Nothobranchius furzeri: one gene and its partner. The protein of the gene in region 2 interacts with the protein of the main gene of each other region in a pairwise test. Links are inferred from orthologs where the notes say so. Each region holds a gene or a part of one and is shown on either strand. Other genes may lie near its edges. The genes, in order: sec24c and mos.

Region 1 (6,476 bases), on a different chromosome or scaffold from region 2:
TCTCCATATGGCCAGCCCCAGCCTGGCTATGGTCAGCCCAACTACGCACCCCTGGATGGGGGGTACCCAGCTTCGTATGCACCCTACAATGGTCCTGCTTCCGCCTATCAGCCTGGGGTTCCACCTCAAGGTAAAACACTGCTTCCAGACCAGCTTCTGTGTGAATTAAATCTCAGACACATCCACTTGAGGAGAACCCTGTGCACACTAATCTAAATCTTTCATTTCTTCATTTACACTCATTGCCTCGTATCGTCTGTATTTGCCCTCTTTCTTGTATTTCAGGTTATTCTTTCACAAGCTTTCCTTCTAAGGCTGTGGCAGCCAACCCAGCCTCTGACCTCTCCTCTTCTCTTGACTTAGGTAACTGCCTCTGCCTTTCACTCGTTTCACTCATCGACATACATACAGGTGCTGGCCAGTAAATTAGAATATCATCAAAAGGTTGAAAATATTTCAGTAATTCCATTCAAAACGTGAAACTTGTACATTATATTCATGCAATGCACACAGACCAATGTATTTCCAATGTTCATTACATTTAAATTTGATATTCATAAGTGACAACTAATGAAAACTCCAAATTTGGTATCTCAAAAAATTAGAATATTCTGAAAAGGCTGAATATAGAAGACACCTGCTGCCACTCTAATCAGCTGATTTACTCAAAACACCTGCAAAGGCCTTTAAAAGGTCCCTCAGTCTTGTTTTGAAGGCACCACAATCATGGGGAAGACTTCTGACTTAACAGCTGTCCAAAAGACAATCATTGACACCTTGCACAAGGAGGGCAAGACACAAAAGGTGATTGCTAAAGAAGCTGGCTGTTCGCAGAGCTCTGTGTCCAAGCACATTAACAGACAGGCGAAGGGACGGAAAAAATGTGGTAGAAAAAAGTGTACAAGCTCTAGGGATAACCGCACCCTGCAGAGAATTGTGACGACAAACCCATTCAAAAATGTGGGGGAGATCCACAAAGAGTGGACTGCAGCTGGAGTCAGCGCTTCAAGAACCACCACGAGGAGACTCATGAAAGACATGGGATTCAGGTGTCGCATTCCGTGTGTCAAGCCACTCTTGAACATGAAACAGCGCAAGAAGCGTCTCGCCTGGGCCAAGGACAAAAAGGACTGGACTGATGCTGAGTGGTCCAAAGTTATGTTTTCTGATGAAAGCAAGTTCTGCATTTCCTTTGGAAATCAAGGACCCAGAGTCTGGAGGAAGAGCGGAGAAGCACAGAATCCACGTTGCATGAGGTCCAGTGTAAAGTTTCCACCGTCAGTGATGGTGTGGGGTGCCATGTCATCTGCCGGTGTTGGCCCACTCTGTTTCCTGAGGTCCAGGGTCAATGCAGCCGTCTACCAGGAAGTTTTAGAGCACTTCATGCTTCCTGCTGCTGACCAACTTTATGGGGATGCAGACTTCACCTTTCAACAGGACTTGGCACCTGCACACAGTGCCAAAACCACCAGCACCTGGTTCAAGGACCATGGTATCCCTGTCCTTGATTGGCCAGCAAACTCGCCTGACCTTAACCCCATAGAAAATCTATGGGGTATTGTGAAGCGGAGGATGCAATACGCTAGACCCAACAATGCAGAGGAGCTGAAGACGACTATCAGAGCAACCTGGGCTCTCATAACACCTGAGCAGTGCCACAGACTGATCGAGTCCATGCCACGCCGCATTACTGCAGTTATTGAGGCAAAAGGAGCCCCGACTAAGTATTGAGTGCTATACATGCACATTCTTTTCATGTTCATTCTTTTCAGTTGGCCAACATTAGAGAAACAAACATTTTTTCATTGGCCTTTAGAATATTCTAATTTTCTGAGATACCAGATTTGATGTTTTCATTGGTTGTCACCTATAAATATCAAAATTAAACGTAATAAACATCGGAAATACATTGGTCTGTGTGCATTGCATGAATATAATGTACAAGTTTCACGTTTTGAATGGAATTACTGAAATATTTTCAACCTTTTGATGATATTCTAATTTACTGGCCAGCACCTGTATATGGAGAATGGGTTTCCATAGACTCCAATAATAAGTTTTTGTACTAAAATGGGAGGTGGCCACCACCGCCATTTTGACCGTGTCACAGGTTCCATCAAGCCCAGACAATTCCATGAAAGGGAGGAGAGGTGGAGCTGAGGGTGGGGCTGTAAGGTTGGGATCAACTGACGACACCCGGTCGAACTAGCTACAAGCTAACCTGAAGCTAACCCAAAGCTAATGCGGAGGTGGGAGCTAAGCTAACGGAGACAGCAACCTAGCTATAACCGGAGTTAACTGTGCACAACACCAGAGCTTCTGAGTCAGAGATACGCCGGGCTGACCGCTGGGTAAAACCGGGTGGAACACAGAGGTCTCCGAGAGCTCCACAAGCCGGCAGCCGCACAGCAGACAAGCACCGCTGCAATCTGAGATGCGCAGAGCTGCCGCTGGGGAGAACCAGTTGGAAAGGTTTCCATCCCAGAGCTCCACAAGCCGTCAGCCCGCACAGCACACAGAAGCCGCGATCAGACATAGATGCACCGAGCTGCGGGGAGGGGAGGACCGGGTGGAAAACAGAGGTCTCCCAAGAGCTCCACAAGCCGATAGTCGGAACCCAGCTCCACCAACATGTTATATTTCAACCCATTTTCTAAAGTGCAGCATTATGTTAAATGCACTGGGTTTGACCCTTTTACATTTAAATTTCATGGTTAAACAGTACATGTTAAAATCTAAGCTCAGCTCAGCAGTGACCTAAAATTCATAAATATATTTTTACTTACCGTAAAAAATGAAGTGGAGACTCCTTGGACGCTCTATTAGTGCAATTAATGCCACAGCAAGTCATTTTGTCCAACAATTGCACAAAAAATATCCAAAACAGAATACACAAACACAGAGACTCAAAATGCCGGAGCAGTTTGCAAGCCAGACCGAGGCTCTACTGAGGCCTTTCCACGGAGCTAGCTCTGTGGTCACATGGGTCTGATGCTCATTAATTATACAGAATTTTAGGCTTTTAATACACTTAAACAGAAGAGTGAGAAAAAAATTCACCCCCCTCAGAGATGTCATGAGTGTAAACTAGATCATTTAAACCAAAAACATGTTTTGGTACCAGGCTGTAAACATGTTTATTTCTGCTGTGAAATTGGTATTTTTAACATGGGAGTCAATGAGGATTTGCTCGCTTCTGACACCAGCCCCCAGCGGATGAGGGTGCAACTGCAATTTTTGGTACTTCCGGGTTGAGACCCAATTTCTGAGCCGCATTGTGGGGGCTTGGTTTCACTCTTCCTGTAACCATCAGGTCATTTGGATCTTACCGTCCCATCCTGTTTTCCTTGTGAACGACTGACCTTTGGCCCTCATTGTTTACTTTAGCAGTGGTTTACCTCAGCCAAATGTATTAAATGTGTTTCTGGTATGTGGATCATGTGGCTGTGTGTATTTTCACTCTGCATTTAGATCAAGTGTTTTGTTGATATTGATCTGGTGATTTAGTTAGTTTCTGTTGGTTACAAGCAGCATCTCTAAAGTATTAGGTGATATTCTCTTATTTTACTGCATCTCGATTGGCAGACAATCTTAGCTGACCCGGATTTTGGATCTAGTCTCAGCTCCTGACCCCAAAAGCCAAATCTTGGAATGTTATTAGTTGTAATTTGAAAATGTCTTTGGCATTTTGCTGTTAAGCTCGAAGCTCTGATTTAGTAAAATTTAGTGGATTTATGTATAAAAACTGTTTCATCCTATTTCTTTCTATTGTGCTTCATATAATCCTTTTCATCAGGTTCTGCTAGGGGTCCTCCCACCTCTGCACCCCCTCCGGTCTCAGCCCCTCAACAGTACAACCAGTACAGCCACAGTCCAGCAGACATGCAGAACGGACCCCCACCGATGACACAGGCGCCACCCAGGTACAATTCAGTTTGAATGGTTGTGTTTTTAAAAGAGCAAATTTACCGAGAAACCATTTTTTACTCATTATTCTTATAAATGATCAGTAACTAAGTTTTTCACGCAGGCTGAACATGAAAATAGTCTCCTACACCTATCTCCTGCATTAGTTTCTGATAATAGATGGTGAAACTCTAGGATAGAGACCAACTGATATATTCAACTATTTCTGTTATTGGCCATCGGCCGAAATGATTTTTAAAGGCTGATTAATCAATTAACATCAGGCACCTGTGTGGCCAACTGCCACCTCTACTAGACTGAAGAAAGGACCTGAAGGACCCCAACACACCGCGAGCCATGCTAGAACCTTCTTTTAATTTACATTGTTTTATGCTAAGCTAAAACAAAACGTACTGCTTCCAGATCAGGAGAATAACTGAGCTTGTTGGCTACACAATCATTTTTCTGACTTCTCTAACTGGGAACTCTAACAACAGACAAAATTTTACTTCTGAGTGGAATATCCCTTTAAGTTTGGTGTTTAACTCATTTACTACCAATGACGACTTTGCATTTTTTTACTGTGTGGGCATCAGAACGAGCCCCCACACCGTGAAAACAAACGTCCCAGCTCTAAAGCCGATCTTCATAAGCGTACGCCACGCATCACGTGATCAGGAAACAGAAAATCCATGTGTTAGAAGATCGTTTTGGGCCGCTGCTGTAAAAAAAAAAGTGAGGCGCGAACCGGAAAAGCTTCTGCCGATCACAATTCAACAACAGGTTGTGAAAGAACAGATAATGCTTGAAACGCGCGGATTCTTCTTGTTGTAAGAGGTGAGTCTACTCTTTGTTTTGGTTGTTTTGGTAGTTTTGGCGCTGACATCATCTTAAAGCGCAACGTTCTGACGATAAGTCGCATTTTGGGGGGAAATTTTATTATTTTTCTTACAAAATCTGAGACCAAGCATTTCACATTGCAAGACAAGTACCGGTAACAATAAAAGAATAAACAACCAGCTGTTGCAATATTGAGGCATTGAGGTGTGGAGCAGAGGATGCCTGGATGTGCACCACTGGCAGCGGGGAGGGAGAGCTGCAGCCTGGGTGGGTGGGTGGGGGATCCAGGGTGCTGCAGCGCGCCACGGTCTCCAGCAGAGGATGGCGGTGTTTCAGACCCTCCCAGTGGGTGGGGAGAGCTCATTCCTGGGCTGGAGCCGGCCCGCAGCACCCCGTCACAGGCTGCAGCAGGTGATGGCGGTGTTTGAAACCCTCCCAGCGGGACAGGGGAACTCATTTCCGGGTCAGAGCCGGCCCACAGCGGCGCGCCACAGGCTCCAGCAGGTGATGGCGGGGCAGAGGAGCTGAAACCAGGTCCGGAGCCGGCCCGCAGCAGCGCAGTATACATAATTTGGTATATAAGTCGTAGGACCAGCCGACTATAAAAAAAAGTGCGACCGATAGTCCAGAAAATACGGTAATCGGCTTTAGTTATCAGTCATCAGCAACAAAATTCTCGAAAAATCTGTATCGGTGTTGGCTAAAAAAAATAAAAAAATAAAACCTATCGGTCGGCCTCTACCCTTAAGATTTGAAAAGCCTGACGGATCTGAATCACACTGTCATACACTCACCCATCTTGACTCCTGACGGGGAAGGCTGTTGTTGGTTTAGCATCCATAAAACACAAGAGAACCTCTCGACTAGCAGAAATTACCTGTTAGCATTAGCAGCTCCACCACTCAGCAGAACTCCACCAGGATTGTGTTATTTGTGGAGATAGAACATCAACATTGCAGAGCAAACAGAGTCAGTGGTGGACTCACTTTGCCGTTAGACAGTCGGAGGCGATATGTCCAAAATTCAAGAAATAAGACTCCAAATCCTGTCGTCTGCTGCCAATTTCTCCACTGACTGACTAGATTTCAAACAGAAGCATCTGAGCTTTTGTTTCCCCAGAGACCAACTTACAAGGCACTCATCCCACTTAGAGACCACTGCAAATGTATAATAATATGAGTAAATTTGATCTTTGAATTAATTCAAATTCAGAAGCCTGCCCAAGCTGCCATTTAAACACACCAGACAGTTATGAAGCCTTGTGGTTATCTGATATGGGAAATACTTAAAAAAGAAAACTATTAATTTGGTCAAATGCATTTTAATAAACTTAGTGGAACTCGCTTAAAATGCCCAGCATGAGCCTGGAGGATCGGTTCCAGGAGGGGTTTGTGTGAGAGTTTAAAACGCTGGATCAGGTGTTGTGAATCAGCCAGGTGAGATCCTCATATTATTGTCTTGACTGGCTTTGGTCCAGGAAAATTAAGCACTTGGATCAAAGCATTACCACGGCTGTTGTAGCAGATTAATTATAAATGAGTGTGTTTTTCTTTATTGGTGTTAATGTGAGCGTGTCCACATGCAGCTGGTCAGAGCTCCTTTGGAAGTGAGACATTTAAACCGGTGTGTAAGTCTCGTGTGCTGTTGTAGCACACCAGTATGAACTCTTGATGTTCTCTCCATCTGTGGCATTTAGAGTCATGAATAACTGATCTTTCTACAGGATCATT
Region 2 (6,423 bases):
GTCAGGGCTTAAACCCAATCGAGCTGGGCCATTCAAGAACAGTCACAGAATTGCTGTGAAGCTACTCCTCCATTATTTTAGCTGTGTGTTTAGGGTCACTGTCACATTGGAAGGTAAACCTTTTGGCCCAGTCTGAGCCCTCTGGAGAAGGTTCTTGTCTAGGATATACCTGTACTTGTTCAAATTCATCGTTCCCTCGATTGCAACTAGTCATCCCGTCACTGCAGCTGAAAAAAAATCCCCACAGCATGATTTTGCCACCACCGTGCTTCACTGTGGGGAATGTATTGGACACGTGATGAGCGGTGCCTGTCTAAACTGTCTCTCTCATGTGTTTCTTCAGTCCACTCTGGGCTATGTTGCCCTTGTCATCGCCACTCTCCACGGTCTTCTGTTTGGCTGGAAAAGAGCTTTTGAAGAGGAGGCCTACCGTTTCTACCTGCCCCCTAGCTTTGTGGTGTCCTTGGCACTGCCGGTGTGTGTCATATTGGGGAAGGTTTTGACGTTGCTCCCCTGTGTGGCTTACAAGCTCCACCAGATCCGTAAAGGTCTGGATACCAACATGTACAAGTGCCAGCGACTGGAACCTGTTGGATCAGCTACTAATGTCTCACCTGAGAGAGTTACCATCATGTGATCGCTGCTTTACTGGATCTAAATTCTAGGCCATTTCTTGGTGGACACTAGTTTGTTTTAGCTTCAAGAATATTCTAGATTTACCTTTTTGGTGTTTTATCTGATGTGTTCTGTGTAGGATGTCAGAAACGTATCTTAAGTATCAGATCAGAGTTATTCATCCCTACCAGACTGGTATAGTGACTCAAAACACCACATAGTTATATTGGGTCAGAACACCACGTACAACTGCCTTCAGTCTGTTTTTAACAGCATTCATAAACCCTGTTTAGAAACGTTGGTGACTCCATCATTATCTGGTGTTTATGAATCCTGTTTGTGTGTAACTTTCATTCACAGTAGTGTTAACAGATAAAGAGCATTCACAAGCAGCAGACATGGTGTGAAACGGAGTTTATAAAACAGACATGGTGCTGTCTGTTAACAGCAATATTGAGACAAACTGTAACCTACACTGTGATCCCATACTCACAGGAACTGATCTGAATATTTTAATGTTGTGATGGTCTGTAGACTACTGGCAAATTAGAAAACAGAAATGTACATCTAAACCTGAGAGGCATCTCAAATGGCTTGAATTCATACTAAAACATCCTTTATAAATGTATCTGTATATTTTTTTCTTCACATTCAGCCAACGTATTAAAATGTATTGCGTTGTGTTTCATACAAGCTGTTTGCCCACCGAAGACTCTTATTTGACACACAGTTGAAGTCAGCCAGGGAAAAATGTTGTAAGGTATGGGTTAGGGAGGGTGGTGGAGTCGGTGAGCCCTGATCTATTCACTCATGGTACTGGAGGGCCACTGGCCTGCATGCTTTAGCCGTTCCCCTGCTCCAACACACCCGATTCAATGATTGAGTCACATCTTCAGTATGTCCTCTAGTTCTTCTAAAGCCTATTCATCACCCATTGAGTCCAGGTATGTTGGAGCAGGAAACATAGAAAACATGCAGGAGTGGCCTTGGGACCAGGGTTGAATAAACCTACTCTATCCCACCTGCATTCCTATTAAGGTCAGATGGAGTCCTGGTGTTCTTATTATTTATTTATTTTAATTTTCATTCGTTTTTCCCAGTTTCTTCACTAATCTAGACGCGGTGAGTCCTCCTGAGAGCATTCAAAAGGTCTTGATCCAAAGTTTGCCTCTTGCAGTCCCAGTGGGGTTTGATGGACAATGTGTGCGCTGTTTCAACTTTTGCATGCCTTTCTCGATGTTTGTTAACTAATCCTGTTGCAGCTGATCAGTGGTGGTTGTCATGTTTTTTCTTCTGTTTTTCAACCCAGCCACATTCCTAGCAGAGTCCAATGGACCCCACTTGTGTTTTTGTTATAGTTTTGAGGAGTGAGCACCACCTTACTCCTGCCACATGGAACCCCAAGGGATAAACCATCAACCCTGCTTAACCATCCTCTGTCGTGGAAGGGTCAGCCAATAGGACAGCAGGAGGGTTAAAGGTTAAACACACTAACATTTCTTGTTCTGGAAAGAGGAGGACAATGTGTCCCTCTGGCCCTCCCTGCTGCCAACATGTCCCAATGCACAGACATCAAGACAATATAGTGTCACTCACACACTACATGCGTTTTGTTTCCAACACCACTTGGAATACAGTGTGACCCCAAAGCGTGCACCAAGTTTTCAGTCTGATGTCACATGAAATGTGTCTATGGGCCAGCGGTGCCAGTGTCATTTTAGATTTTTTACTCTATATATCAACATCCCATAGAAACCTGTTTTATTGCTGATTTTGGTTAAAGAAAAAAATCCCATGAGATTTTTGATATGAACACATTTTAACCTCTTGAGTCCAAAATTTGGAAGACTGAAGCAGACAGCTGAAGTTTTATATGACATGGTCTGAACCCAGAGACTAAAGGCTGCTTTTATTAGGCTGTGAAGTTATTTTCTCTAGAGTATTTCATTTTATTCACATGTATAAAACAATCACATAAAATCATTCTTGCATTTAAATAGAAACCTATAGGGTGGGGGTGTATCCACAGCCCACGTGCACCCAGCAAGTCCACCACGAGCAGCAACCTGGAACCAAATTAAAACCAAACACGAAACCTTTAAAATGATTTTAATGAAATCAAACAAATCTTACAACATTTATTAAGCCAAGAATGAAAACTCAGAGTTCACCTGAGAGCCAGTGCTAGTCTGGGTTCTGTGGTTTGGACATTAAAACCCGCTGTGTGGACCCAGCTGCTGACCCAGATGTTCCAGCTGATCCAGCAGCTCAGAGGCGCTCGGTCTGAGGCGCGTGTCTGCGCTCCAGCAGCGTCCGAGCAGCGTTGCGCACAGCCGCCCCCAGTCGGACCTGAACACCGAGTGGCTCTGGACAGACGGGCGCAGACCGTGCGCCACCACCGAGTACATGATGTGCTGCCGGTCTCCGGTGTAGGGCGGCTCGCGGGTCAGCAGCTGCCACAATGTGATCCCGAACGAGAAGATGTCCACTTTGGAGGAGACCGGTTCTCCTCGGAGCAGCTCCGGGGCTCGGTGCGTGTAGGTTCCACACACGTGGCTCAAATAAGGACTGATGAGTTCGGGATCCCGGTCCAGTTTCAGGGAACAGCCGAAGTCCGCTATCTTGCACACTTCCGTCCGGGACACGAGCACGTTGGCCGGTTTGATGTCCAGGTGCACGACACCGTGGGAGTGCAGGAACCGCAACCCGTCCGCGATGTCCGCCGAGAACTTCAGAGAGCGGTTCGGCTCCAGCAGCTCCGAACTTCCGTAGATGATCTGCTGCAGGTTCCGGCTGCCCACGAACTCCATCAGGATGGTTCCGATGCTGTCCTCCACCTCAAAGTCTGCGGGCACGCACGTGGTGGCCGCGAGGACGCGCACGATGTTCTTGTGGGTCAGGTGCGCAGCGTTCAGTTCGGCCCAGAAACTTTGCCGAGACGCCAGCTGGTTCTTTGAGCTCTTCTTCACCTTCTTTAGAGCCACAGTCTCTCCCAGGTACTCCGCCTTATAGACGGAACCGAACCCACCAGAACCCACCGGCACCACGGAGCGCAGCTGGTCCCAGTGGATCACGGTGGACCAGAACCGGCTGGTGACTCTGCCGTGCGGCCGCTGAGCCGGGACCTGTAAGGTGGACCCACGTCCCGGTTGGGCCAGCGGGCTGCTGCAGGTTCCGATGTCCACGCACGGGTACAGGTCCTTGGGTAGGAGGCGCGTGACTGGGATGGGTGAAGGCATGCCGAGCGAGCGAACACAGGTGCGTCCACGTGCACAGGTGAGTTGCCGCGGTGCGTGACGGGATGCTGCAATGCATCATGGTTGGAACTCTTGTAGGTCCTCGAAGAGGGTCTAGAACCGCGGTCAGAACCGAACTGAGAGGAACCACAAATATTCCAGTTTTAAAAGGTTCTTGTTCTGATCATCAGACTGATGCATAAAAGCATGTCAAAGGTCATGAGCCCGACCTGCACGAGCTCTGGTGAAAACACCCAGGCTCAGTTCTTCACCTACAACAATAATAACAAAGAAACTGAGATATTCTGGAGGGTTCTACTGGAGAACATCTATTGAATTACCATCAATCAGATTAAACATCCATAAAACACCAGCCCACACACAGTCCTGTTGGTTCTGATCCAGAACCGAAACGTTTAGTGAAGAAGGAAGACCAGGAGAGAGTGTGTGTTAGATGTTTCTCTCTTTATTGAGTCTCACGACAGAATCAAAACACTGGAGTCTCATAGCAGCGAGGTGTGTGAGTGAAATCAGGTTATTCTGCAGAGCAATAAATAATCTGTTTCTTTGGATGAACTTCAAACAAAACAACAGCTGCAGCTTAATATCCATTTTATACAACCTCTACACATGTTTGTGATTTATATCGTCGATACGTAGAAAAATACAACAGTAGTTTGTGAAGTATAGAGAAAAGTTGAGATTTAAAAACCAACAGGCTTTGAAGCGGTTTCTGTCTGGGGAGGGGCGTTTCAGGCACGTCTGCAGAAGGACTTCAAAAGTCACAGTACAATAAAAAGACTTTATATAACTATATAAATATGGATGTATACAAACAGATGTAAGTATGTATTAGAAAGAACCGGAGCAAAGTACAAACATTGCATTTAAAGACCAGGAATGTCTGTAGCACCTTAAAGAGCTCCAGACTCACGTAGCAGCATTTCCAATCCTAATGCAGTGTTTCTAACCAACACATTCAGTAAGGTTGACCGGTACCGCTCAAGCTCACAGGCCTAGAACGGGTCTGGATCACCAGAACAGGGTTGGATTCAGTCCAGAGCTACAATCAGTTAGCATTACGGTTCTGAACATGTTCAGGAAACGTCTGTTAGTGAAAATGTCATTTGTTTCATTAGGTTCTAATGTGTAAAATGTCAGATGTGTGAGCAAAACCCACAGCGTTAAATAAATATAACGCTGTTGATCACCAGTGGGTGGGTTTACTCCAGGGGACCAATAGTTTTATTCAACCTAGAAAAATAAATGTTTAGATGCTTTTTCTCGTTAAAAAAAAACTCTTGATAAAGCAGAACTGTTGTGCAAGTAAAGCAAAAATTACACTCTGATAAGAAAACACTGCCAAAACGGTACCTGTAAAAATAAAACACTTTATATAGTATTTACATATAACTGTTCTCTACAATAGCTAAATATATCATCTATACATTTGTGGTAAGGGTTTAGAACAGAGGCTACTGGAGGAACTGAGGTGTTCTATTTACAAAAAGTGCTGCGATTTACAAACAACGCCAACGTGACCAAAGCTTACAGCGATCACACTCACCTATGACCTCCACCCAGATCCTGCCACTGGGAGCAAACGCGGCGGCAGAACCAGTCAGCTAGTGGGTCTGTTAGTCAGTATTATTGCTGTTGGGCTTCACCCTCCTTTTTTAACCATTCTCATCTTTTTTGCGTAAATCAGCTTTAATGGTCATCCTTCATTTCTATCGATGAGTCTGTTAACGACTTTTCTGTGAAAAGTGTCAAAGAGCCTGTGGCTAGTTCCATTTTTCGGGTTTAGAAGGAACAGGCTGTGGAACAGTAACGAGAGAAACGCCAGGTAACACTGTTTGGCTTGTAACAGTAAATCTGGAGGAGCATATCAGTTTAAAGAGCAAGTCACCCCCAAATCAACTATTTTTTTTATGATAAACTATATAAATGCGTGTCTAATTGAGCTGCAGACACGTGTAGTCAATAGTTTTGCACTTTAGTGCATTTTAGGTAAAATTTAAATTTTCTGCCTGAAACTGTCAGTGTTGTGCCGTTGTCAGGTAAAAACTCTTCACTACATTTGAATTTAAATCTGCCACCGCTATTGGGTAAGAGGTATGCTATGATGTAAACTGGTACATTATGATGTCACAATGTCGTGAGTGTGTGTATTTGTTAGTGGCTCCACCCTCTCGGTCTGCTAGGCAACAGCATTTGTTGCATTTTTCAAACATGAAGTGGGAGTGAAGTACGCTTCTTGTAAGGGGTGACTTGCTTTTTAAGCATTAGCCTAATAAAAAAGTGTTATTTCTAAAACATTCCACAGCTGTCTCACATATTCACCATGAATGTCCCACCCTAGCATGGTTGATCAGATGTTTTCTTATAGGTCAACCCTAACCCCTAACCCACACTCTGCACCCAGTTTTCTCAGCATTTAGTAAGTTTTTTATTGACAGTAGGGCAGGGCCATGAATCGAAAATTTATCATTATCGAAATTTCTGACTCTTATTGAGATTGTTTTCCCCATGTCAATAAATTTAATAATACAAATATGAAAAGATGTGTAGG

The links.
Region 1: the proteins of mos (region 2) and sec24c interact in binary tests that used the Homo sapiens proteins (3 or more experiments, as listed by UniProt). The two-hybrid records come from large-scale screens. The link is inferred for Nothobranchius furzeri from reciprocal best matches to the Homo sapiens genes MOS and SEC24C.

Annotation. Positions count from the first base shown.
Region 1 is NC_091756.1:44,413,381-44,419,856, forward strand, and holds part of sec24c (protein transport protein Sec24C), read left to right. Parts: coding exon 1-130; intron 131-285; coding exon 286-363; intron 364-3,796; coding exon 3,797-3,923; intron 3,924-6,476. UniProt on the Homo sapiens protein: Component of the coat protein complex II (COPII) which promotes the formation of transport vesicles from the endoplasmic reticulum (ER).
Region 2 is NC_091747.1:36,175,916-36,182,338, reverse strand, and holds mos (proto-oncogene serine/threonine-protein kinase mos), read right to left. Parts: upstream 4,009-6,423; 5' UTR 3,855-4,008; coding exon 2,826-3,854; 3' UTR 2,787-2,825; intron 2,682-2,786; 3' UTR 2,505-2,681; downstream 1-2,504. Other genes in the region: metalloreductase STEAP2, read left to right, coding at 344-637.